3 linked regions of the Styela clava genome follow. The main gene of each other region encodes a partner of the protein of the gene in region 2 in a complex. Links are inferred from orthologs where the notes say so. Each region holds a gene or a part of one and is shown on either strand. Other genes may lie near its edges.

Evidence for each region. Proteins that work in one complex are often made in the same cells at the same time.
Region 1: GATOR1 complex protein NPRL2-like (region 2) and nucleoporin SEH1-like share a complex: the UniProt entries of both Drosophila melanogaster proteins name them as parts of the GATOR complex. The link is inferred for Styela clava from reciprocal best matches to the Drosophila melanogaster genes Nprl2 and Nup44A.
Region 3: GATOR1 complex protein NPRL2-like (region 2) and GATOR1 complex protein DEPDC5-like share a complex: the UniProt entries of both Drosophila melanogaster proteins name them as parts of the GATOR complex. The link is inferred for Styela clava from reciprocal best matches to the Drosophila melanogaster genes Nprl2 and Iml1.

What each region holds. Positions count from the first base shown.
Region 1 is NC_135251.1:17,060,961-17,069,316, forward strand, and holds the start of nucleoporin SEH1-like, read left to right. Parts: upstream 1-5,034; 5' UTR 5,035-5,065; coding exon 5,066-6,138; intron 6,139-8,356. UniProt on the Drosophila melanogaster protein: Probable component of the nuclear pore complex (NPC). Involved in maintaining the localization of another nucleoporin Mgtor to the nuclear envelope of early meiotic female germline cells.
Region 2 is NC_135262.1:4,331,006-4,338,976, reverse strand, and holds the start of GATOR1 complex protein NPRL2-like, read right to left. Parts: upstream 3,462-7,971; 5' UTR 3,444-3,461; coding exon 3,321-3,443; intron 2,810-3,320; coding exon 2,712-2,809; intron 1,793-2,711; coding exon 1,575-1,792; intron 393-1,574; coding exon 196-392; intron 1-195. Other genes in the region: uncharacterized protein LOC120332525, read right to left, coding at 5,439-6,485, 7,882-7,971. UniProt on the Drosophila melanogaster protein: An essential component of the GATOR subcomplex GATOR1 which functions as an inhibitor of the amino acid-sensing branch of the TORC1 signaling pathway.
Region 3 is NC_135264.1:6,356,668-6,365,165, reverse strand, and holds the start of GATOR1 complex protein DEPDC5-like, read right to left. Parts: upstream 3,323-8,498; 5' UTR 1,202-3,322; coding exon 1,141-1,201; intron 1,057-1,140; coding exon 950-1,056; intron 72-949; coding exon 1-71. Other genes in the region: membrane-associated transporter protein-like, read left to right, coding at 4,346-5,097, 5,313-5,465, 5,563-5,720, 5,811-5,977, 6,099-6,774, 6,912-7,281, 7,490-7,692, 8,003-8,208 and 1 more. UniProt on the Drosophila melanogaster protein: An essential component of the GATOR subcomplex GATOR1 which functions as an inhibitor of the amino acid-sensing branch of the TORC1 signaling pathway.

The DNA of each region.
Region 1 (8,356 bases), on a different chromosome or scaffold from region 2:
TAAAAATAAATAAATGATGAAAAATTATAGTCACGTATAATATAATAAACAAGTAGGCTAGTCTATATTCATAAACATCATATAGTAGTTAGTACCGGTAATTCATATCTGTATATTGTTCCATTCAGCCATTGTTGATTCCAGATAAAGTTCACCATGTTTAACAGTAAATAAACATTATTTTACATGTTTTTTAATTATTGTTAGCAGGAAAAGAAAAATTTATACAATTATTCATAGGTTCTTGCAGATTATGATAAGTTCATAATCTTATATAGTCTAACTAGGTTTTTGTCTAAATTGTTCCATATTTCTCCTTACTGAAATGGATTTTCTAATTCTTGCTATGACATTATTTACACTTGGATTAACATTAACATCCTGTTATACTTAACTATATATTCCAGAAATAAATTTATTGCTGTAATCTAATGATAATCCAAAACAAATCCATACCATAAACCTGTAAACCAAAAAGTTGAATGCAGTGAAGTGCTGAGATCAGAAAAATGGCGGGATTTCAATCAAATGTGAACAACCGTAATTGTGGTGCACAGAGTCCGATTTTGTTCACCCGCAATAACCATTGCGAATAATTCTATACTAGACATTTATTTTTCAACATTGATGTGTTCATTTTAAATATTCATTTATTCTTTTTCAATTTATTATCCTAGTATTTACTATATACAGATGCAAATAAAGTTTTAAATATTGATTTACCTTGAGAAAATATCGCAAGACTCATTACACATATTTTGAAACAGTCATATACATATCTGGAGGCTGGAGCAGATGACATGTTGCATTCATTTAGGCATAGACTGGCTGATTGGCCTGAATGTAAGAAAGGTTTATACCTACAAAATCGCGCTTATATTTATATTGATTTTGTTTGTTTAGTTATATTAAAATAAATTATAATATAAATTAGGATTCTTGCCTTATTACAGTATTATTGAATTTTAATGATCCTTTATTTCAGGGGTTCTCAAACTTTTGGTGTTGCGGAGCCCTTGAAAGGTTGAATATTATTCGCGGAGCCCCAAAATAAATTTTAAAATTGTTACTTTCAGATTATTATTCCCGAGCAAGTTAAAAGTACTTTATTTATTCTAAATGCTGAACCTTTTTTAATAGGGTTAACACAAGTCATAAATAAATCTAAATTTTATACTAAAGCTGTAAATTTGACACTTGACGAACATATTAATAAATTAGGGATCGAATCTTTTTTTTTTTGACATTTTTGGAAGACTTAATTAAAAGGCCGTTAGTAACGTGCGCTATTTCATTTTGTTACAATCGCCGATTTTTTCCGTCAGCATGGCGTGTTTTAAACATCTTTACGCCGCTGTTTATTCTCCCTAAATCAAAAATTTCCCTCGGCATATACATGTATTGTTACACAATGACGACGTTAATTGCTTTTTTGTTCTCGTGGGGAATTATGAGTTCAATGTGAAAAACATGTTACCATATTATTATAGTCATCGGCGACGAAATGCTAAAAATAATAATCAATAAAAAGGTAAATCCACAACTCAAATTTCTTGATTGAAAAGCGGCATTCTAAAATATTTAAACTGAAACTTAAAATGGAAGATCACACTTTGGTTTCAGCAGACTCACCTCAGATTGAAAACGCTTCTATAGACATTGTAAATCACAAAATTTGGTGTTATGTTAGGTTTTCATCGTAGTAGCTGCGAAATCGAAACACAGTCAATTGTGCGCGCGATTTACCTTTTTTTTTCATTCTGAAACTACCGACGCAGCCGCACGCAATCAATGGTGCGCGCGATCCGCGATGTACCTTTTTTCATTCTGAAACTACCGACGGAGCTGAATGCAATAAAATAATTTTCAATTGTTCGTATTTTCCCCAGACATTGTGATTTTTTAAACAGCGATATCTTGCTTAAAAATAATCTCAAGTGCGAAAGAACAAATCAAGTTTGACAAATACCAAGATCGCAAAAATACGACACCAATTTATTTATAGTTGGCAGCTTATCACATATTTTATGTTATTTTAGAATAGTATTCTTTCATTTTAGTAATCCTAATAGTAATCTCGAATCAAACGTGAGTAACGATGAGCACAACTACATTATACCGACGAGACACGTCAAATGCTCCATCGGTCTTGGATTGAATATTTTACGCAACAGAAATCTCGTTATCCGTTTTTTTAATCGCGAAAAATGTTGCGCGGAAATTTCCGATTCCAATTTTGAACCATCTCCCTCTTAAGAATCCTGGCTGCGCTACTGCTCATAAATAATGTCATTTTTTAATTCCGGCCCTTTACCATATTTCGAGGCTATATTGTTGTCAGATGTTATCAAAACTGTTATTGCTTCTTTGAACAGTTACAAAATTTTGAGTCAGTATTTTGAAGAGTAATCGAATAGCTCGCGGAGCCCCTGGGTTTCACTCGCGGAGCCCTGGGGCTCCGTACGGAGCACTTTGAGAACCTATGCTTTATTTAGTCTTATAGTAGGTAACTATCAACTATTGTAGATTTGAATGTAATTATTCTTTTATTATTTATAGTGCGATATAAAATTTGGATCATGAGAAATTATACTTCAAATAAACTCCTGGTATTGCTCTCCTTTAAAAGCAGATAAAAAATGGCCGTTATGTGTAAAAAAAATATAGAAAATTCTAGAGTAAAAAAATGCTTTAGGAATTACAAAATTTATGCGAAGTATTATTTTAGACATGAAATTAGATGTTAATTTTTGTTTTTTGCAATTGCTAAAATATTTCATGTCTTAGTCAATGTTTTATGTCTGGTTAATTATAAAAGTTCTCATTCTGTAATAATGTAAACTTTCGTGTAATGAACCATTCATATGGGCATTATTTCTGTATTTGAAGTCGTTATGAAATGACCATGTCCCACATTCACGCTTTAACAGTACTATAATCAGAAAATGGTGATCGGTATGTATTTACCAAATGTCCTTTATTACTAAAGTACTAAAATGGCTATGTACCCACTTAATTAATCATGTCCACATAAAAATGGCCGTGGTTGTTACTCCAGAATTGAATAAAACACAAAATTTAAATAAAAGCTAGATTAGACCGATGGTTCTCAACCTGTGGTACGCGTACCACTAGTGGTACACGAGCAGATTTGAATTATTGCAACAATTAATCTTTCAGTTGGCTAAAATATGTCGACAACACTTTATCCTCCTTACTGTATGTATTCGCTGAACAGCGTTTATGAAGGTTTTCCCAAGCATCAGTTTCCTTGTTCATTTCCGTAACTATCACCAATCAGCAATAAGTCAATAATGACGCAACACGTAACAATGGCAATTTCTGCACTCAGTCGCACAGACACTTCTGTCGCTCAAACAGATATTCAAGCATGGTTGCAAACATTGCCCCATTTTTGTAGTTTTGAAATATATTTGTCAGTTTTCAGTTGTATTTTAAGGAAATAATTGTGAATTAATTAACTTATTTGTCATTATGTCTCCCGCAGAGCTTTACTTTAGTTGCAGTAATCGAAATTGAATCTCGCAAATGCTGTGATGGACAAAGCTAAACTTAGCTACCGGTATATGTGGGGCTGCCATCGATATGAACCCAAAAATAAGGACATCAGGGAAACATAATAATACAATAACAAAGAACGAACTGTAATAAACAAAATGTATTCATGCTAGTGCGTGTCTAAACATACTTTGCAAAGGATTTGCTCCAGCAGTTCTTTATTCTTAGAAAAAATCTGTTCCATCTCACTTTCAAGTTGTATTTTAATTCAGGTTACACGCAGTGATTTTGGTCGGTAGGCTTTTGTTTTGTCACTGTGTCAATTATTTTTCAGTTCTTACTTATGGATTCACGTAGCAATCAATGATGTTGTAAAATATCATTTCTAGCAAATCAATCATTCGATTTGACCAATCTAAATGCCCGATATTAGAACGTCTACCCGTAAAATAAGGTCACATGTCGAAATAAGGACGTTTCTTAGAAATAAGGAAAAAATTCTTTTCTAAGACAAAGGCCTTCAAAATAAGGACAAATCTTAGAAATAAGGACGTTATGGCAGCCCTAGCTATATCAGTACCTGCAAACGGCACATGGTTGATTAATTTTAATAAAAATGATGACTCCAAACACGTAAACCATTTTATATGCGCCAACACATCTAAGCACTCTCAGAATAAGCATGAAGTTTACAATTGTAAAGTATAGTGGTAAATTTTCCGGAGTCAAGGGTCGGAGAAACATCCACATAGCGCTGGTGCGCTATCAGTCATTGTCTCTAGAGATCGCCCGCTATTGCCCATCTTAAATGAAGCGATATGGGCATGTTTTTGTCCGTTTTGTGTGTCACGCCACAAAGGATGTAGTGCCACATTATAAAATACTACCGTTACTACTAAATAACACGTTTCTTGTGTCTTTTTCCTCACGCCAAAAAAGAAGCTTTGTCGGTGGTACGCGGCCATAGTGAAAAACAGTGAAGTGGTACGCGGTCAGTAAAAGGTTGAGAACCACTGAAGTAGACCTATTGATTTTTGTTGTGTAAAAAGAATTCTATTTGACTCTATTATTCAATTCTACAAGCCGGATAGTGCTGTAAAATATTTATGAGTTCTAAACTTCAGAAATTTTTTGTTTTTATAATTTCCATTTAAACTGATCACAAGCTAACACCATTGCCGTTTACTATTATTATTGCATCACTTCCTTTTTTATTTTTTTGAAATAACGTCTCAATAAAACACAACCAAAAAAATTGAATTAATGAGAGTATGATGCAAAACATTTGAACCACTAACTAAAGACATGCATGCATCGCGGGTACCCATCTCTTAATGAATACCAAGTGGCCAGTACCAAGAGCTACAAGGAGGCTGTTTAAATCAGAACAATCATGAAAGCACAATCAATTTACTCAAAATTTGCCCAAATTTTAAATTTAATTTTAATTAAATTAAATTTTAATCAGAACAATCATGAAAGCACAATCAATTTACTCAAAATTTATATTTTACATATCTCAACTTGTAGTAATTTTATAGCTAAAATGGATGATACAGAATCACTAGCTGAATTTAGTGCCATTAAGATCAATGCCGAACATAAGGATCTTATTCATGACCTTGCTTTCGATCATTATGGAAAGCGTATGGCGACTTGTTCCAGTGATCAAACTGTCAAAGTATGGGATTTAGATGATGATGGTGATTGGTACTGCAGTTCCAGCTGGAAAACTCACAATGGTTCAGTCTGGAAAGTATGTTGGGCTCACCCTGAATTTGGGCAAGTGCTTGCAACATGTTCCTTTGACAGAACTGCTGCTGTATGGGAAGAGATTGTTACTGATACGACAACATTGAAAAATAATAGATCATGGATACGTAAATCGTCTCTTGTGGATAGTCGAACATCTGTAACTGATGTAAAATTTGCTCCAAAACATCTCGGTCTACAACTGGCTACTTGCTCTGCTGATGGAATTGTACGTGTTTACGAAGCACCTGATGTTATGAATCTGGCTCAATGGTCTGTTCAGCATCAAATCAAATTGAAATTAGGTTGCAGTTGTTTGTCCTGGAACCCCTCAAGTTTTTACAAACATCCTTCAATGATTGCAGTGGGTAGTGATGATAATAACCCATCCGTGGGCGGCAAGGTTTTAATATATGAATACAGTGAAATCAATCGTGATTGGGTCAAAGTTCACACAATAATGACAATAACGGATCCTGTTAATGATATTGAATTTGCTCCGAATTACGGTGCGATGAGACACACGCTTGCCGTAGCGTCAAAGTGTGTTCATATTTTTGTTATGAAGCTTTTGAGTGATTCTAAAACATCTGGAACTGAATCGTCTAGCTATTCTGTGAGTGAAGTCGCTAAATTTGATGCTCACAATAGCAAAGTATGGAGAGTTAGTTGGAATGTTCTTGGTACGGTGTTGTCATCGTCTGGAGATGATGGAAAAGTTCATCTCTGGAAAGCTAATTATTTAGATAATTGGAGAAAAGTTGGAACATTGAAAAATTTGCAAGATAATAAAACAACACAAAGCAATGTTTCAAGACAAAATAGCTCCAATGATAAAGGACTGTCCAATTCTCAACAAACTATCAGGTATGCTGGTGGAAATGTTCGAGGTGGACAACTTTTTTAATAAAATTCTGCATGTTTGCAAGTTTTAAATATTTTTTCTAATTTCATTCAATTCGAAACTTGCAATTCTGAGTGTTTGCATATGCTTTGTTCCCAATAATCTTGTCTTATAATTTATATAATTTTGAGGCATGGTTATGTATTTGCTATATTCAAAAAAATTGTACATATAGAAATAAAGTGAAATTTGTGATTGCATATTGAACTAATTTAGATTGGTAATGTAGTATTGCTCATCTCAGTCAAGCATAGGCTGCTAGGGCAATACATAGTGAAATTGTCACAAATTTGGGGTGATTGCTAGACATTGCTTAGGGTAAAGTGGTGGCTTACAAAGATTGAGAATTATCGTTTATCCTCATATATGAGCCGATTTCACATATAAGCCGACCCCGTAAAAAGGCCCTTCAGCATTGTCGTCTATTATGGAATGTTGGCATATCGGTATTGACGTTTTCAGCAGCGGTGAATTTTTATAAAAAATTCGTATTTAAGCCGACCCTACAAATCATACGCCCTTATTGGTAGGAAATTAGCATGGTTTGAGTGGAATTAAGTTAGCATAATATCATTTCGTTTGAGTGCGATTAGAGTTATGCGCTTTTATTAAGCCAAATTTTTAGTGCGATTAGAGTTATGCGCGTATAAGCCCTTAGTTTCGCAACTTTTTTGAGCTTTGTATTCGGCTTATATGCGAGGATATCAGTGATTTTTTTTAATCATCGTCAGTGCCTAAATATTAAATTAACAGAGGGGACCATTGAAATAGCAACTGGGGCTATTAATCTATCTATTCGCAACTAATTCATGATGCCTTGGACATATCGTAATTGAAAAATATTACTGTGACATGATTTTCTGTTTTTTTTTCTTGACATATAACCAAAAAACACATGTATAGGACAGGCCTACATGGTGAATAATATGCTCAGGCTGTGAAGTGGAAACTGTGGTACCATGAGATTCACAGGTGCTAGCAGCTTTGGTGTGAATTAACTGTAAGTTTACTCCAACTTCATTGAGTATTACTGGTGGCCATTTCGCAGAAGATTATGACCTATGATCAATGTTCCCTCTAATTTTTTGTAGTATGTGTGCGCAGAAGTTTTGGTGTGTGCGCACTTTTTTTGAAATGACTAATATTTGTGCAAATACCAATGAAGAAATTTTAGCGTTCTAACCGGGTAATGGGTGGGCCAACAACAAACTTTATCAACCTGCCAACCGAGAACATTGTTACATTACATCGAAATAGGTCTGTGCGCAGTAAATCTATGCGAGTGCGCAACCGCGGGCACACGCGCACACTTTAGAGGGAACACTGCTTATGATACATTGCTTTGAGTATATATATTCTCAAAAAAATGTCACCAAAATTATATTTGACCAGTTTGACCACGAGTACTGTGTCTGTAATGCAGCGCTCATAGGTGTAGTTTCAGTTTGGGTGTTATTTGTATTTGAGCAAGTTGGTATGTAAATACCGGTATATCTAATTTGTTGATAACCATCATTTTTTATTTGAAACTGCCATTTATTTTCATTTTCTTTCAGCCTTTTCTGTTGTTTTTCTAGTTTTAATATTTTTTCTTAATTAAACAATCTGCAATCAGTGCCAATTTTTGTTTGAGGAAAAATCTTACTTTCTGCTATCGCATTGACACAATTTCTCAGAATTTTAAATTATTTGGTGGTTATGCTGAAATTATGTATCGAATATTAACAATTAGTGATTATTTTTAATTCTTGTTTGATCACACATGTATCTGGAGTTATTTGTTCCTTCTGCCTATGATTTTAAATATGGTTACTGTCAAATCAAATGGAGAAAAACAAAATGAATTTTTTCTACAAGGGATCAAAAAACAGAGTTCTGGTCATTTGGAGCATATTCTAGAACAGTGGTTCTTAAACGGTGGGGCGCGCCCCACAAGGGAGGCATAGACAATTTTGAGTGGGCGTGTAGCTAATAAAAAATAAAAATATTTGTTACATTTAATCTTGCCTATTTTATTTTGCCCAATCTTTGTTGGATATTTTCATTTCAAAACTTTTCATTATTTACGTTCCATCCACGCATTTTCAACAGGTTTTTTAGATAAAATATACTTTCGCTTTGCTATCTGTTATTTGTAGCTTATTGTTAGCTAGTTATTTTTTGACTTAATAAATTCCAAAA
Region 2 (7,971 bases):
GAGTGGAGATTGGAAACCTTATAAAATATAAAAAAAATACGGTACTCCTGAAGTATGCACACCAAAATGTCGCGTAACCTGAACTCTAACCTGGTACACAACCTGAGTTCAGGTTGTGCGCCATCTTGGTGCGCATACTTCAGGAGGTCCCACTAACTATGGAATATTCAAAATTCACATTAACTACAATCTTACCCTTTCTGTGGTCAAATCCCATCCTCCTGGCATGAATTCATCTATCGATACCATCAGTATCGGCACATCATGATCTTTTACTACAGGAGGAAGGGTTGTGGGGGGAAATACTTTTAAAAATAAAGTTGTGTTATCATTAACCCTTGTGCAGCAACTTCCTTTTGTATTTAGTTCTTCAAGCATATCGCGCAGAATATCTAGAAAAATGTAGGAATGTAATCTGTAATGGTAATAAACCTCAAAGGTGATTGTTTTACAATCAAACCAATAGAGTACAGCAGTGAGGAAACCTTTTGTCACTCGCGGGCCAAAATTAAGGTTGCAAGTCATTGACGGGTCGCACATATTTTTAGAAAGTTGAAAATTTCGAACGGATGGTACTTTTTATAATAAAAATCAAGCACTGATACATCTCTCGAATAGAATATAGATTTATTTCCTCATTGCATCTCATAAAATCCCATTTGAATATTTTCAGCGCCATTGAACCCTTTGCACTTAGAATTAACTTTTCCGCGTTTTGTTGCCATTTGCCTAATTATAATTAAATTATATGCTCATTAAACGAGTAATTGTGAATTATATAATTGTTGGGTTATAATATAATTAAGTCTAAAGAATATATTCGTCAAAACGGATGTTTTGTTACTATAATTTAGTGAAGCGTCGCGGGCCGGATTATAGTGCTCCGCGGGAAAGAAACAGGAGCAGGCTATTTTGCATTATTATGCACACACATTTCGCTCCAAAATATGAGATCTGCTTCATACGACTGTAAAATGAGTGTTTGTATCGTGAATGTAATATTAATTTGGCTATTTTTGGGACATTTCATAAATGTACTTTAAACGAGGGTTTGGATATAGATCTACGGATACAATATTTTAAAATAACCAGAATCTATGTTTATGCAAAACCTACCAAATTCTTACACCCTGAAAGAATGAGACTTATTTTTTTGTTTAAAATCAAGATATATACTTAACATAACAATAACATAACTAGCTGTATTGTCTGCACAGGGCCAAATATATTTTTGAGTACTCCCGTAGTATGTGCACCATGTTAGGGTTAGGCCATAATTTTATTCCGATTTTCTTTATTTTAATTCTATTACAAGTCAGGGATTGTCTGTGTTAGCCAAGTGAATATACCCCCTGCCCACAAGTTTCAGTCACTTTATATAACTTGGATGTAAAATAGGCAAACAAAATTAGTCACCTCCATATTGGTACACATACTTCTGGAGCGCCCATTTTTCAGTTTATTTATGAAAAAGACTTAAAATGCGATGGTTTTTATTTCTTATTGGCAGTTAAATTGAGCAGAAGTCCTAAATTTCTTTCAAACCAGATTTACAGTTAAGGGTTGTTTCTTACTTGGAATCATTTCTCTAGTCTCTTCATTAGAAACGAAGCCATTCTCCTTCTCAAGTTCTGACATATATTTTGAGAGTTGTTTGATCATTGGAATACAAGGAGAACTCTTATGTTTACTATCGAGCACCAGACCAAAGTTAAAGATGAAATTATTTCTTGGATAATGAGATCCCTCGATACATACTGGACATCCAATCACTTTCTTTTTCCCTACATTCCTAAATACAGTATTAATTATAGACAAATGATATTTACTGCGTGTTATAGTCACATTTTTAATAATGCTGCATGATAGCTAAAGAGAAGCAAACACAGCTACCTTCATTTCAGAATAGCCCTATGAAAATACATAGTTAGGACGTTTTTTGTCTGAAAAAAGTTTCTTCTCACTCCAGAGATTCAAAATGCAGGTCTAAGTCAAGGGTCTGAATTGACAAAATCTTAACTCACTACAGCTTACAAATGTGAGAAACTATTTTAACTACTATTTTAACCAATAAAAATTTGGACTCCCAACTCTCTCAAAGTCCCAAATACTGAATCCAGATTCCAAATAGTACACCCTTTCAAATCAGACTCTGATTGAATACCACCAATTATAGTAAACCACAATTCTCTACGATAGTCAGAATCTAGGAATAGCTTGGTCATAGTGTATTGCAGAAAATTTGATTAAACAAAAATATTTTAATCCCATTTACAGCTCAGAACAAGCTGAAGCAGGGTTGTGCAACCTGTGGCCTGCAAGCCAATTGAGGCCCACCGGGAAAAATTGTGCGGCCTGCGGAGACATGCCAATTTTGGATTGTGTGCGGCCCGGGAAACGCAGTTTTAATTTAGTTTTATCTGGTATGAGCGAGTAACCCCAATACCTTAGAGTTGCAAAGCCTATACCCGAGACCAATTTTTACGACGTTACAATGCCCTAACAGCTAGCTAGCTTTTTGTGCATGCAACTACATTAAAGCCTATGTTAAATAAAGGTGCGGGCCACGTTTTCTTCCAGTTATTTGAATGTGGTCTTCATGTAATAAAGATTGCACACCCCTGGGCTTGAGATATTCTTCCCTGTTATTTGACCAAATTTTGTGTGTATTTCATTCATTTCAAGGAAAATAAATTACAAAATATACCAACACAGTTGTCAATTTCTCTTGTAATTCTGGTTTAGGAATGATATAATTCGTAACTTCTTCAAATAATCCTTCTTGTTGGTTAAAATATCCATCAGGATACTGAAATTAAAATATCATATCAAATGATTTATTGCAAAGAAGGAAATCAAGTCATAACAATAGGAAGGACAACATCACTGATCAGAAAACTATATTCCAGAGCTAATGATAGTTAGACCAATATTAGATGTAGTAGATGTTTTACAATCATGAAAATTTGTTCAAGTTATCAGATTTTTGAAAAACAAGAGACGAAACTTGAACTTATACAACAATTTTACTTCTACATTCAATATTCCCTTTTTTTATATTATTGTACAGAACACATTAAAAATACTGAGACATATTTCAACCTTATAATATTCAGTCATGGACAATGTTCAAGAAACAACAAAACAATGCTTAAATATGAAAAACACAATCTCTAACCACTAAAAATTCCAAAGCAATTGGTCCAGGAGTTGAAGAAAAAAACGATTTTTCCATAACCATAAGAAGAAAAATACCAAGAAGAACAATAACAACATAATATTCACAAAACGATTTATAGGTCCACTCCATTGTTAAATACCTGATAAGTTATCTTGGGTCCTTGCAAATGATGAAATTCACTGAAGAACATACATTCAATAGGATGTTTCGCAATGTAAGACTGCAATGAATCGTTCATATTGCTGCATTCAATGACCTTCATGGGTCAGCGAATACAGTTAATTAAACTATCAATTAATCTACATTGAAAGAATTCAATTAATAATAGTTTAACATATAACAGATTATCACAAAAACAATTTTTGATGAAGATTTCGATTCCCATGGTAACGAATCCCCCAAAAAAACTGTTTTGATGAGTTGAGTGATTCAACAATATGTAAAAATAAACGAAAATGAGAAATGAATGATGATAATTTTAATAATGCTTGAATAGATCAAAAACGTTTTTGAAGCAATGGCCTATGTTTACAAGGAGGCCTGGATTATTGGAAAACAAAACTCAAAATTTTTCAATAAAAAACTTTGATATTTGGCCCATACACGTCAAAACCAAATCAATGTTAGAAGAAAACACTCGTTCATATTACAAGTACCGTAATCGTTGTTTTATAATAACTTAATCAAATTTTCATTACTACCGCTTATAATATAAGAATATAATCAACATGTATAGCATATTTGCTAATGACAATCAAGATAGGTTTTTTATATTTATCCTGAGCAAGGCTGATGAAATGGCTTAATCCTATGGTAGACTGTTTCTTGTCCGGTTGTATGTCCAGGACAAGTATGGGTATAGATAACTTTGTAATTGTCTCAGGTCTATGCAATTAATTTGAGAATGAAAAGCATCTACTGAATGATAATTTGAATAGCCTACTATTTTTATCTGCACCAAGAATGTGAGGAATAAATAACTTGGAGATAAGAAAAAAAGGTAGAAATGATTGTACAATATTTGAAGATCCATTTTGCAATACTTGGTTTACCAAGCTGATAGAATTTCTATATAAACCCTGAGATTGAAAATAAGATGAATCATTCCATAGCAAACCACAGTCCAGTATTAACTAGAAACCAAGTCAGGCGCACTTAATCAGGTAAATGCTGCCTTGTTACTGGAGTATTCGGACGGGACTAAAGCCATGGATTTTTGTTGTAAATGGAGCTGGCAGAAAGTTTTGCAACTCCATTTCATGCCCATCCTTTTTTTTTCAATTTATAATTTTCTAATTCATTAAAATAATGAAAAAATTCCCTATCCCATCTCTAAGGTCAAGTGCTAAAAATGTAGTTACAGTAATGTTTAGATATAATTCCTACAAACTACACAAATGCATTTAATAATGCTTTTATTAGAAGGTATTCCATGAATGAACATAATTATGAAAGCCTCAAAATACAATAATAACACTACAAAAGTATTTTCTTAAGAGACGAAACATTAGTTTGGTATGATATATATTTTAAAACTTTAATAACTAATCAATCTTCTGAATAAACATTATTCAATATTCCTCCATTCATAAAAACTTGGGATCTGGAGTAAACTGAATAATTGCTGAAGAAAAACAGCTTAAAAATCAAAATTGGACTACGTACATCAAAAACAATTTACCAAGTAGTTTGAAAATAGACCACATTATATCACGATTTCAAAGCAAAACCAGAAAAATACATTGGACTATACGTAAACTGACATCTAATTTAACCATTTCGTAGTGATTTCCCTGATTATATGATATAAGTCAGTTTAACATTTGTTGGAAATCAGTAAATAAAATAATTCAAGTACCGGTATGCCATAATTCCCACAAGCGCTAAAATCAAAAACACACTTTTTATTAAAATTCTGGAATAATTTATCGTCTATATGTAACTGCGAAAAGTTGACCTCACAAATATATTCCATGCATAAAAAACATTTGGCTATCACAATCTATATACAAGCAGTTTAGTTAACAAAAGAAAACACGATTTATATACCAGTTCATGCAGTTTATGTATCATGATTTTGTCACAAAACACAATATTATTGGCACCCAGAATTTAATATTATTTTCAACTAATGCTTGAAACAGCCTTTCGGCTTGATTTTAGTCTGGCAGGAACAGCATACATTGGACTAAGTAAACTTAAAAACATATCTGAAAAACAAACGCTCAGATACGGAAAGGTTGTCAAATACCATAAATTAGATTGGAGCTTCTGTGGGCTCTATAAGAATTTCATTTACACCTACATGATCTGGCTGAGTAAGGGCATATAAGACAGCCCTTCCAATGTCTTCAGGGTCAAGGATTTTACTTGCTGAACCCATTGTATTGTATTGCACTTGGGCATCCAGATCTCTCGTATAATTCCCAATTTCAGTCGCAACGTCACCGGGTTGAATACAAGTTACTCTGACCCCCTTGTCTTTTACTTCTTGCCTTAAAGATTGAGAAAGTCCTTCTACAAAAAATTTTGTTGCGGAGTATACCGCTAAACCAGGAAACCCTCTCCTGCCTGCATCTGATGATGTGTTAACAATATGACCTTTCCCCCTTTCTACCATTCCAGGTAGAACACACCCAATACCGTTAGTTACGCCACGACAATTAATATTAATCATTTTATCCCAATCATCCATCATTGCATTGTGCATGTGCGTGTAAAACATGCATCCAGCATTGTTTATTAAAATATCAATCGGGCCCATAAGTTCCTCAATAGTTTTCACAACTTCAGAAAATTGAGCCCGATCCGTTACGTCCAATTCATATTGGTGTACAATACCACCTTCAGAGTCAATTTTTTCACAGACTTCAGCAAGTTTATCTTGTCTTCGTGCGCCAACACATACGTGTGCACCCGCTCTTGCAACAGCTTCCGCAATAGCCTTCCCGATTCCACTTGATGCACCAGCGACTAAGATTACTTTGCCTTGCAAACTTCCTTCGAATGCGCTTAATTCACTCATGTTCGTATCGTTCTCGGAATATGGTTCTGGTACTTGTATTTCAACTTGCAAATTTGGTAAGTTCGATATTGATTCGCTGTTTAAATTGTCAGATTTAATCAAAGATTCACTTGAGGAATTTTTATATTTTGAACCAAGATTTTGCATAAATCCACTTCTCATAAAGGATGGGGAATTACTGATACCCTCCCAATCATAGACAAGAGTGGCGTCTTTTTTACTTTTGCTAGATTTCTTTTTTGTGTTGTTTGATTCCTCACTGTTTTCCAGTGATAACCTCTGTAAAACGAAACATTTCATTGTTTAAACTTTATACCATTGACATTTTATGAATTTCAAACAAACATAATGGATTCAAAGATATTCAATACTGTATTGAACAGATGTTTTGATAATTAATTTTAATTGTCTTTAATTCCAAACAAAACTCTGCGTGAGAAACCACTACTATGCGAAGAACTCTTATATTTGAAAAGCCGTAACTCCAGTTTGGCATTATCCATCCAAATTCATTACTAATTTTTTTTGAAGCGGTGAGCATGAGATTTGAACACAAGATTTTCAATCTACGATGCCAACACAATTAATTCAAACTCTTTGACCACTAGTCCAGCATATCCACTCAATCTAATTAAAAGGAAACAATAGTGAATCGCATCAATCTAGAGCATATGAAATAATTGGATAATAGAAGCAAAATCTGACCCCAAAAACATGTTTAATAAATTCCGCATCATTGAAAATTACGTTAAAAGATTCAAACATCTGGGTAAATAGATATTGAATAGGCTACAAACTTATTGTAACTAAAACTGTTTTTACAATATCCATTATCAAGATATCTTTATTCTTACTAAAGTAAGACCTTTTAGAATCTCAATTTCTAAGTTATTTTTACTTTATTAAGCTTCACAAAAGACTTTCAAATTTGATTTTCTGCAAATGAAAACTTCTGCCTTGCTGCAGTGCAGGCTACAAACAGACTGAATGAAAAGGAAACTCAAAGAGAAGATTTTATGATCAATTCTCAATCAATGACTGGTGAGTGTCAACATGTCACCTCATGCATTTCCTGATGCAAGTCACTTGTAACTGTCACATAAAACATGCAAAAATATCAAAACATTTACTTGAACATCATATCGTTATAATTAATTGTTGCCATCTTTGAGGGGAACACACAATAAATAATAAGATATAAGTCGAAATGCGAATGTATTATATGGACATTTCAGAGAACATGATTTACCAAAACGCAATGATATCTATTAGTAATTAATCAAGCCAACTGATTGAATAAACAATTTTTGCCGTATATTTTTTAATGGTAATGATTCTAACGGTATGAAACTTTTTGTTAGATTTGGCCTTGTGGAAACCACTATCAAAAGAGTAGAGAGCAATAAATTGTGAACAATATTCAACCAGATAACTGGCATAAAGCCAATAAACTTATTCTATGAATGACTGCTTCTCCAGACCATTTGAAAAATTCACATCTAGATTTTTCATTCAAGCAAGAGAATTAGGACCAATGTGGACTTTACTCTAAAAAAAGAATTAAAATGTTTTGCGATGATGATACAGCAATGGTACAAAGCATTGAATACTTTATCAACAAAACTCCTTAATTCTTCCGTGAATTTGAAAATAAATTGTCGAAAGAGAAACAAACCTGAGATTGTCTAACTCTTCTTCTCACTTTTCTCATAGCAGATCGTACTTTCTCTTCTCCTTTCTCAGCAATAATTGGTTCTTCAATAAC
Region 3 (8,498 bases), on a different chromosome or scaffold from region 2:
TGATTTGCGATTGTGTGTTCGATGCTGATTGTGTCTTTCTGTAACTCTGTTTCCCTTTTTAATGATTTGACCTAAAAAAGTAAAGTTTAATTAGGCTAGTACATTTTTCAAATAATTTTTGGCTTACAGAATACTGCCATCAATAAAAAATGTTTTATAATGGACCATATTCTAAATTGTGCAATATTCAAATAGAAACGATTGTTCATGTGCATAAATATCAGATTGTTTGGGCAGAATTCATACTTTATAAGTAACCCAATCAAACATATGTTCTATAAATGTCCATGCATGAAAAACTGAAAAACTGGTTTACTATTCTAATACCCGACATGGGCAGGTAAACAAACCAGAGGTCATAGTTCACCACATGATTAGATAAGCCCTAGATAATTTTAGTTGTTGGCATCATAAATTGAAGATATTCGGTTGGAAGTCCATGCTGACCCAGATGGGGATTGAGAGATTTACATATTTATCCTGGGGGACAGACAAGCCGATAAGACGGCTTAATCATATGGTGAACCATGGCCTCTCGACAGTTACCAGTCCATATTGGTATGGAATTATTTAGCCAGGTATCTGTTTTAGATGTATGGAATTGATGGTGGAGGAAGCCGTAACTGACCAGCGGTTACATGAACCACCCTACGGCGGCAAGTCCAGTAATCATCTGGCACATAATCATCCTCCCAAGATTCGACCCACACAGTGTAATCAGAGATTCGGTGATCAGCATCTTCCTAGTACTTAGCACGATGCGCCACACAGCCGAGCAAATAAAAAATTAATCTAGTAAATTAGATAAGCAATGCCGAACCAGAAAATTGCAATCCATTCAGAAATAATTCAACAAGCTCCTAATATATCGGTGGATACTTGTATACAGCCTTGTTCTGTTGTTTGGAGATCGGAGTGAAGATGTAAAAACGCTTCATAAAATACCTACTTTCATAAAAAGATGATTGGAAGTATCTCCATCACAGTTATGTATTTTAAGAATGTCATCTTTCTTAACTCCTGGAAAATCTTTAGCGTTGATCACCAGTGATTCCTCTGCAAAAAAAAAATTCAGCTTCTAAAAACTGCCAGATAAAAAATTTTCCAACCAACTATTATCACCAGACTGTAGTAACTTACCGCTGAAATTCGCTTGATGTATTTTTAACTTGTATTTCTTCATGATCCCAGACTCTGCCATTTTAGTATAGTCACTAAGTCAATCATGAAAACATTAAAGAAATTGTTTATTAGATGTAGTAACTGTAAGTTAGTTGTTTTGATCACACTATCTTCTTATCTTTCGGTCATCAACTAACACTGTAAAAACAGAATAAATTAAAACAGCAATACTAATAGGAGTAATAGAAAAACAACATCATATCAATAAAATAGACGGAATTATGAAGAAAGGATATGAATTTGAATCTAAAGACATGAGGCATCCGTAGTTTACCTCAAAAGCAGGAACAATCACAACAAAACACTAGAATCAAAATAAAAATTTGCCTAGAATTGATTTCAGTAATTCACATGCAAAAAAGTAATGGAGTATGGCACATTCAATCACAATTCTGTAATCCATAGAGACAAACTATCTTCGAAATATAGCCCAGTATCCCACACATCACAGCATTACGTGATTGATCAAAGGTTAGTACTAAGTTTATCAATGCTACAGTACAATATCTCTGGTACAGTCTCCTGGTACTGCAGTAGGTTGGTAGCCTGGTCTGACAGTGCTAGGACAACCTGACCACGGAAATTGATATCAATCAATCAATCAATCATTTTATTTCGGCTCTCTGACTAAAAGCAGAACAATACAAAAAAGTAAACAGACAACAAATACAGATTTAACAGGAAGGCGAGCATAACTTGAAATAAAGTTAAAAAAACGTACAAGTACGTGCCCACCCACCAAAATATAAAAAAAGAATAATACGAGTATACAAAAAAATATGGACACGATTCAAAATCGGGCAGTGCTTATAACTCAATTTAAAATGATAAAAGCCAAATAATTGCTTCAACCAGCAGACCAGTCGATAACTTACATGGAGTAAAATAAGTGTTGCGCTTGAAATCAGATAGCAAAATTCAGGTAGATAAAATTAAATGTAATAGAATCCCAACGACCTCCTCCATCTCTGATTGATATTAATAGGCCTATATAGCTTTTTTTGTTTTTTCCTGTGTTACTAGTCACTATTTTCTTCTAACATTGGCACGCATTGTTAGGTATTTGTATTCACAGCTATTATTAGGATTAGGATAGACACATTTATCCCGAGGGAGAGGAAAGCCGATAGGACGGCTTAACCATATGGCGAACCACGGCCTCTATTTCAAGCTATTGTCACTCTATTTTTATTCCCACTATTCAAAACTTCATGCTACTTTTCAACCATTTGATAGGTTTTCGGTGATTTTTTGCATTTCTGACAGCAAGCGTCTCTCATAGATTTTGACTTGTATATTTTTATGCTATATAGGAATCTCAGACCCAAAATTTACAGCATTCGAGATCAGCTATATTTATATATATTTACTGCAAGGCTAATCCTGGTGATTTCTCAGCTACCATTATTGTATACGAACATTTGAATCATTATAGGCTACATTGAAACTATTTACCAAAACAATATCCAAACACTGTCAATATTGGCAGGCAACATGGAGGTGTAAAATCATTTATTAAAACAGTAAAAGCAATCTCAATTACACACTCCAGCACTCACACAAAGAAATACCATGAGCAAAAGTGAACCATGTTACAGTAGGAAAGTCAAATTATGCTGGTGTCTTAGGTGGTACATACCCATTTATTGGCGTCAGAAGAGGAAAAAATAGATATTGCCAAAATAATATCCACAGAGTAAGGTTGCAGGAGCTCATAAAAAAATACAAAATGGATAATTTTGCCATTGAAATAAGATGAACAATTCAAGGCATATTTATCAAAAGTAGCACAATACAAACAACCATGTTAAACAGAAAGCACACTTGCAATTGGAAAATTTGTGGGTGTCTTTAAAATTTCCATCCCCTGCCACCAATGCCCAGCATACTATACTATTCATAGTGAAACCTCTTTAGTCCTTACGGTAACTTTGTTATAAAGTGAACAGGACATCCTGAGATATGGTGAAGTAATTATCTACAGATCTAGATTAGTTACAAAATGATACGATAGTGCGCAATCCTCAACAATATCTGAATATTAGCAAGCGTATTTTCTGGGCCACAAGTATTATCGAATATCTACTCCAGCCCAAGCCAAGGGAATACCCGCCCCGTTGCAAATCTGCAGCATTGCATCCTTGAAGAGAAATATCAATACTCTCCAGCACCATATAGCGGTGAAAGTTTATAGCACTGCTACTGCATATCCAAGATGGGAGGAAATATGATGAGGCGATGAATACTTTCCCGGCCCTTAACCCCAGAGAATTTCTCCCTATACTTTATTACAGCGAAATTTTTAATACTTATTTTGAAAGTATTTTGGAAAATAGGCGTATACAAACTTGTTCGCGTGTCCAAAAAAATTTATGTTAAACATTAAACCACATGTCTCTTACAGGAACTGATAGCTAATTTGAGCCAAGCGACTGCATAAATTGCCATTGTTACATCTTCGTAGACTTAATGTTTTGCTGTAATTAAAAAGGATTCGATGCTCGGGGAAACATCCAAAAGGCTCAGCCATTATATAATGGCTCTGATCATATTGTATATTGCGTCCGTTCACCAGTCGTTGTCGGGCATAGAATTAGCTAGGGTTAGCTATCACGGGTTCCTAGTTTATTTAAAATTACATCATGTACTTTTATGAAAACTTTTTTTTTAACTATTTTTGTCATGTTAAGGAAATATAAAGTAAATTAGGACTGTATATATATATATGCAATGATTTTAGTATACAAGCGTTTCCTATAGATGCCTGTCAAAGCATGTCAAATTTACATGGCAGAAAAATATTTGCAAATTTGCGCCTAGATGTTTGCAAAGCAACTAAAAGTACAAACTGACATTGAATTTTTTATGTCACTGCCTGTTTCATTGTGATCGTTTGTTACTCCAAAGAATAATATTTATTAATGAATGCGTTAGTGAAACCAGCGTGATTCCAGGAAGTATTTCATGGGCTATTATAAACATTTAATGAAGCTAATCGTGTCTAATTAGCTTATGCATCCTAATTCCGCATTAAAACAAAATAAAACTTGTCGCGTGACAGAATAGTGTAACAAAAATAATCTTGTTTGGTTTATAAAGAACAATGTTTTGTATTCCACACACAAATTATGTTAGTTGGAGAAGCTGTGAACATAGGCTAGGTATGCCAATTTCTAGTCAAATAGCAGAGCGTACAAATAAATATTTGCAAAGTGCTAGATCATCGAAATCAGTCGACAACGACACAGAGGAGATTGCTGACAATAAACGGTTTGCTTCCGCGACTTGTTCGTCATTCGGGCAGGAATCCTGGTTGGACGAACCAAACGGGGAGAGTAACGCCTTTGTTTCGCCAAAAGGTGAAATGCTGGAAGTTCAAGAACAGAAAGCAATCGAAACTCGCACTGTCAAAGTCGGTAAACGTGTTTTCGAAGTTAACGTTCCGCAACAACCGACTGTGGTAGTTACCTCACCAGACCAACATGAAAATGGACCAGGAAATTATCCTAGTGCTCCATCATACCAGAATCTAAATGAAGATATTCATAGCACAAGAGCTTTGCTTCCTGTCCCAGAAGAGCCAATTGCGAGAAGAGTTCGGCGAAGGAAACAAAGAAGAAATATTCGTGCTCCGAGCTCAATTATATCTTTGCCCATGTCTTCGATCACCGCGTTTTCTGGGTTTACGTCCGTTTCAACCACGTCTTCCATTAGGCCGAAAAGAAGCAAAATGAGCTTGTTTTTGAATAGCTTTATAATGTTTGGAAGAGAATTTTGTTATGCCATTGAAGCGAGTCTCACAACCCCTATTCTGCTAAGTATTGGACTTCCAATAAACCTGTACAGTCTTGTGTGGGTAATAAGTCCTATTCTGGGATTTGTTCTTCAGCCAATTATTGGAAGCTTCAGCGATAAGTGAGTATGGATTTTACATTGTTATGTAATTTGTTATTATTATATATATATATATATAATCGACAAAATAGCACGTTCAATTAGTTAATTAAAACAGAATGCCAATTTCACCTACTCCCTTATTGTTTGTAGAGAATACTATATATCGCCTAAATCAAAAATTTGTAACATTACCCAAAGATAAACACACTTGATACGATTGTACTCATTTTCAGGTGCAAGACGCGATGGGGACGCAGAAGACCATTCATTTTGATTCTTGCAGTTTTGCTTTTGTTCGGGATGACCTTCTTCTTGAACGGAGAACAATTTGTGGAGCTAGTTGTCGGAAACCCAAATGATGTCGGAAGTCAGAATACGAACGAAAGGTATGGCACTGGATTATTGTTTTCTATTACTTTTTCAGAGTAATTTTTAGTAAAAATTGTTTCGTTTCTAATCTATTCAATTTCTTGTTATTTTTAGATCAAACGTGCTCGCAACCATACTGGTAACGATCGCAGGTGTTGTTGTTTTTGATTTTAGCGCTGATTTTATCGAAGGCCCGATTCGCGCTTACGTCATGGATGTATGTGATGAAGATGACGTCAAAATCGGATTATTTTATCAAGCTGTGTTTACGGGTAAAGTCAATCTTTGAATGAATTTCATCACGGGACATTTTTTTTTATCTCAAGTTCAAATTTAATAAACTGAGCCGATCTTTGTTTCAGGAATGGGCGGTGCTCTCGGATATGCAAGCGGTGGAGTGTCATGGGTTCGGAATCTTGGTTTTGGTACATATTTTCCATCAGATAGACAAGTCGTCTACGTTTTCGCAGCCCTCATTTTTATCATCTGTGTAGCGATGAATCTGACTAGCATTCCAGAGAAAAATCGGGTAAGACCATATTGCCGTTCTGTTAAAGTCAAGAACAGTAATAAAGAGAAATAAAATTAGTTTTTCATCGGTAAACTTAAAAGTAAGTTGACTTTTTTTCATTCAAATTTTTCACATATAGTTGAAAGATACCAAAATAAAGAAGAAGACAATTTTTTCTAAAAAACGCCGCGGCGGAAAGGATGTACGATCGAGAAAACGACGATTCCCTGAAAGAGAACAAAAGTACATGGTAATTGAAGAGGAAAATCCAAGAAAATTTGATGCAAATAACAACTTGAAAAGATCGTCAAAAGACACCAAATCTGCCATAGATCATGACGTCATTACTACCCCACATACTTCAAACATGATATCATCACGCCATATGAAATACAAAATGAAGAGTAAGCAGAGAAAAGATCGACGAAAATCTAAGAAAACAGATAATGGCTTGTATGGAAGCTTCGAACGCCCGGACGCGGAACAGATCCATGACTACTTGACGCAATCCGGTTATCAAAATCAATATCAAAGTCTTCCAAGAGACTTTAGCGAAGAACAAAACACATACCCAGCCATGAAGTACAACACGCATAATGGAAAGGATGGTGTTCCATTAGACAACTATGGTGAAAAAATAAAGGGAGTTGCAGATTTAAAAGGAATGGCATCGTGGGCAAACAAATCTGCTTCGCTTCCAAGAAGTGGTACAAGGAAGCAACAAGAAAATCGACGCGCCTTGCCTCATCCGCCAACTGCACCTTACTATTACAATAATAACGGAGTTAATGGAAAAATGATAAACGTCCCGTCAGGTAGGATCCGTTTCGTTTCACTCAACTTATCTAAAATGTTATTTAGGGGAAAGGGTGTAATACCGTCAACAAGGTCCAGTTAATACGCGTCCAACGCTATACTATAGATTGGTATCAATGATTTTTTGTATTTCCAGATTCTGATTCCTCTTCGGGAAGTTCCTTCTCCAACGATTATTCTCCAGTACGTAAAAGCGCAAATAAGCGTGAAAAATCAAGAACTTACACAGCAAAAAGAACAGAAAAATCGAGTGATATTGTAAATTACGAAGACTTTTCTGACCCCTACCGACCCCTGCCACACGAGGCGCCACGCAAGTATCAGAAAAAGTCAAACCGTACAAGGAAGACGAGAATCGCAGAAATCAGGGACGACTTGGACCAGGACGAAGATTTGGAATCTCCTTTATTACGAAGTGATTTCCATGGTGAAGACGTGCCTGAAGAACGCGTGCATGGTGCCAAAAAAATTTGGAAATCAATTGTCGGAATGCCTAAGGAAATTAAGTAATTATCCAATTCTTCCAATTTCAACAGCTTATTATAATTTGCCTGAATATAATAATTTTATGAAATTTCAAAAATCATCTTACAAAATCAGCCGTGGTCCAAAAGCAAGAAATATATTCTACGCCTCTCATATATTTATTTCACTGTACCCCGCTGTATTGTATAATCAAAATAGCCTATTTTTCAACAAATGTTACATTTTCAGGAGTCTTTGTATCGCACATTTATTCGGATGGATGGCATTCTTGTGCGTTGTTCTGTTTTTCACTGATTTCGTGGGCCAAGAAGTGTATGGAGGCGATCCACTAGCACCTATTGGAACCGAACGAGGAGATGCATACAAATTAGGAGTTGAAATGGGAAGCTGGGGAATGACAATTAATGCAGTAGCATCTTGCTTCTACTGCTGTAAGTAGAATAAAGTATTTGAGTATTTAATGTAATTTCTATTCACCAGGTGCATGTTAATATTGGGTACCAGTTTTTTCAGATCACAAATGCTGATCCGTTCTGAATCAGCACTATTTACTAGTGAACTGAAAGCATATCAATTTTATTTAGTGCTTATTTTCCAATCACACGACTTTGTGAGGATATGTATAATTCAGTATTTGCAAAATAACTTTGCTCAAAAAAGGCTAATCTTCTCAAAAATACTGTGCAGCAAATAGTTATTAACGTAGAACAGACTTGATTAATAATATTTCTTTCGTTTCAGTTCTTCTTAAGCCGATGATTAAGAGATTTGGAGCCCGGCCTATCTACATGCTGGGATATTTTGCTTTCGCTGTGGGCGCGCTGGGAATGGCAATTTATCCGAATGTATATTGTGTTCTGATATTATCGTCGTTGATTGGAGTGATGTCCGCGACATTATATACTTTACCATACTTCCTGGTGGCACAATATCATGAAGGGTACAAGGTTAGATACTATTCTACTAACTTTTTTGTTAAAATTCTAATTACAAATGATTTTAACTCAATTTTTGACTCAAAGTATGAAAAATGTTGTCTTGGGTGCAGCATAACACGGTTGATTTTAAAACATATCAGCAACATGATATCACTAAAATTTTTTTTTTTTTTAATGGTATTTCATTAAAATAATCGTTTTTTTCTTTTCCCAGAAATTCAAAGGTACTGCTCAAGAACGGGGTGTTGGCACTGACTGCGCTCTTGTGACGTGTATGATACAATTGGCTCAAATAATTG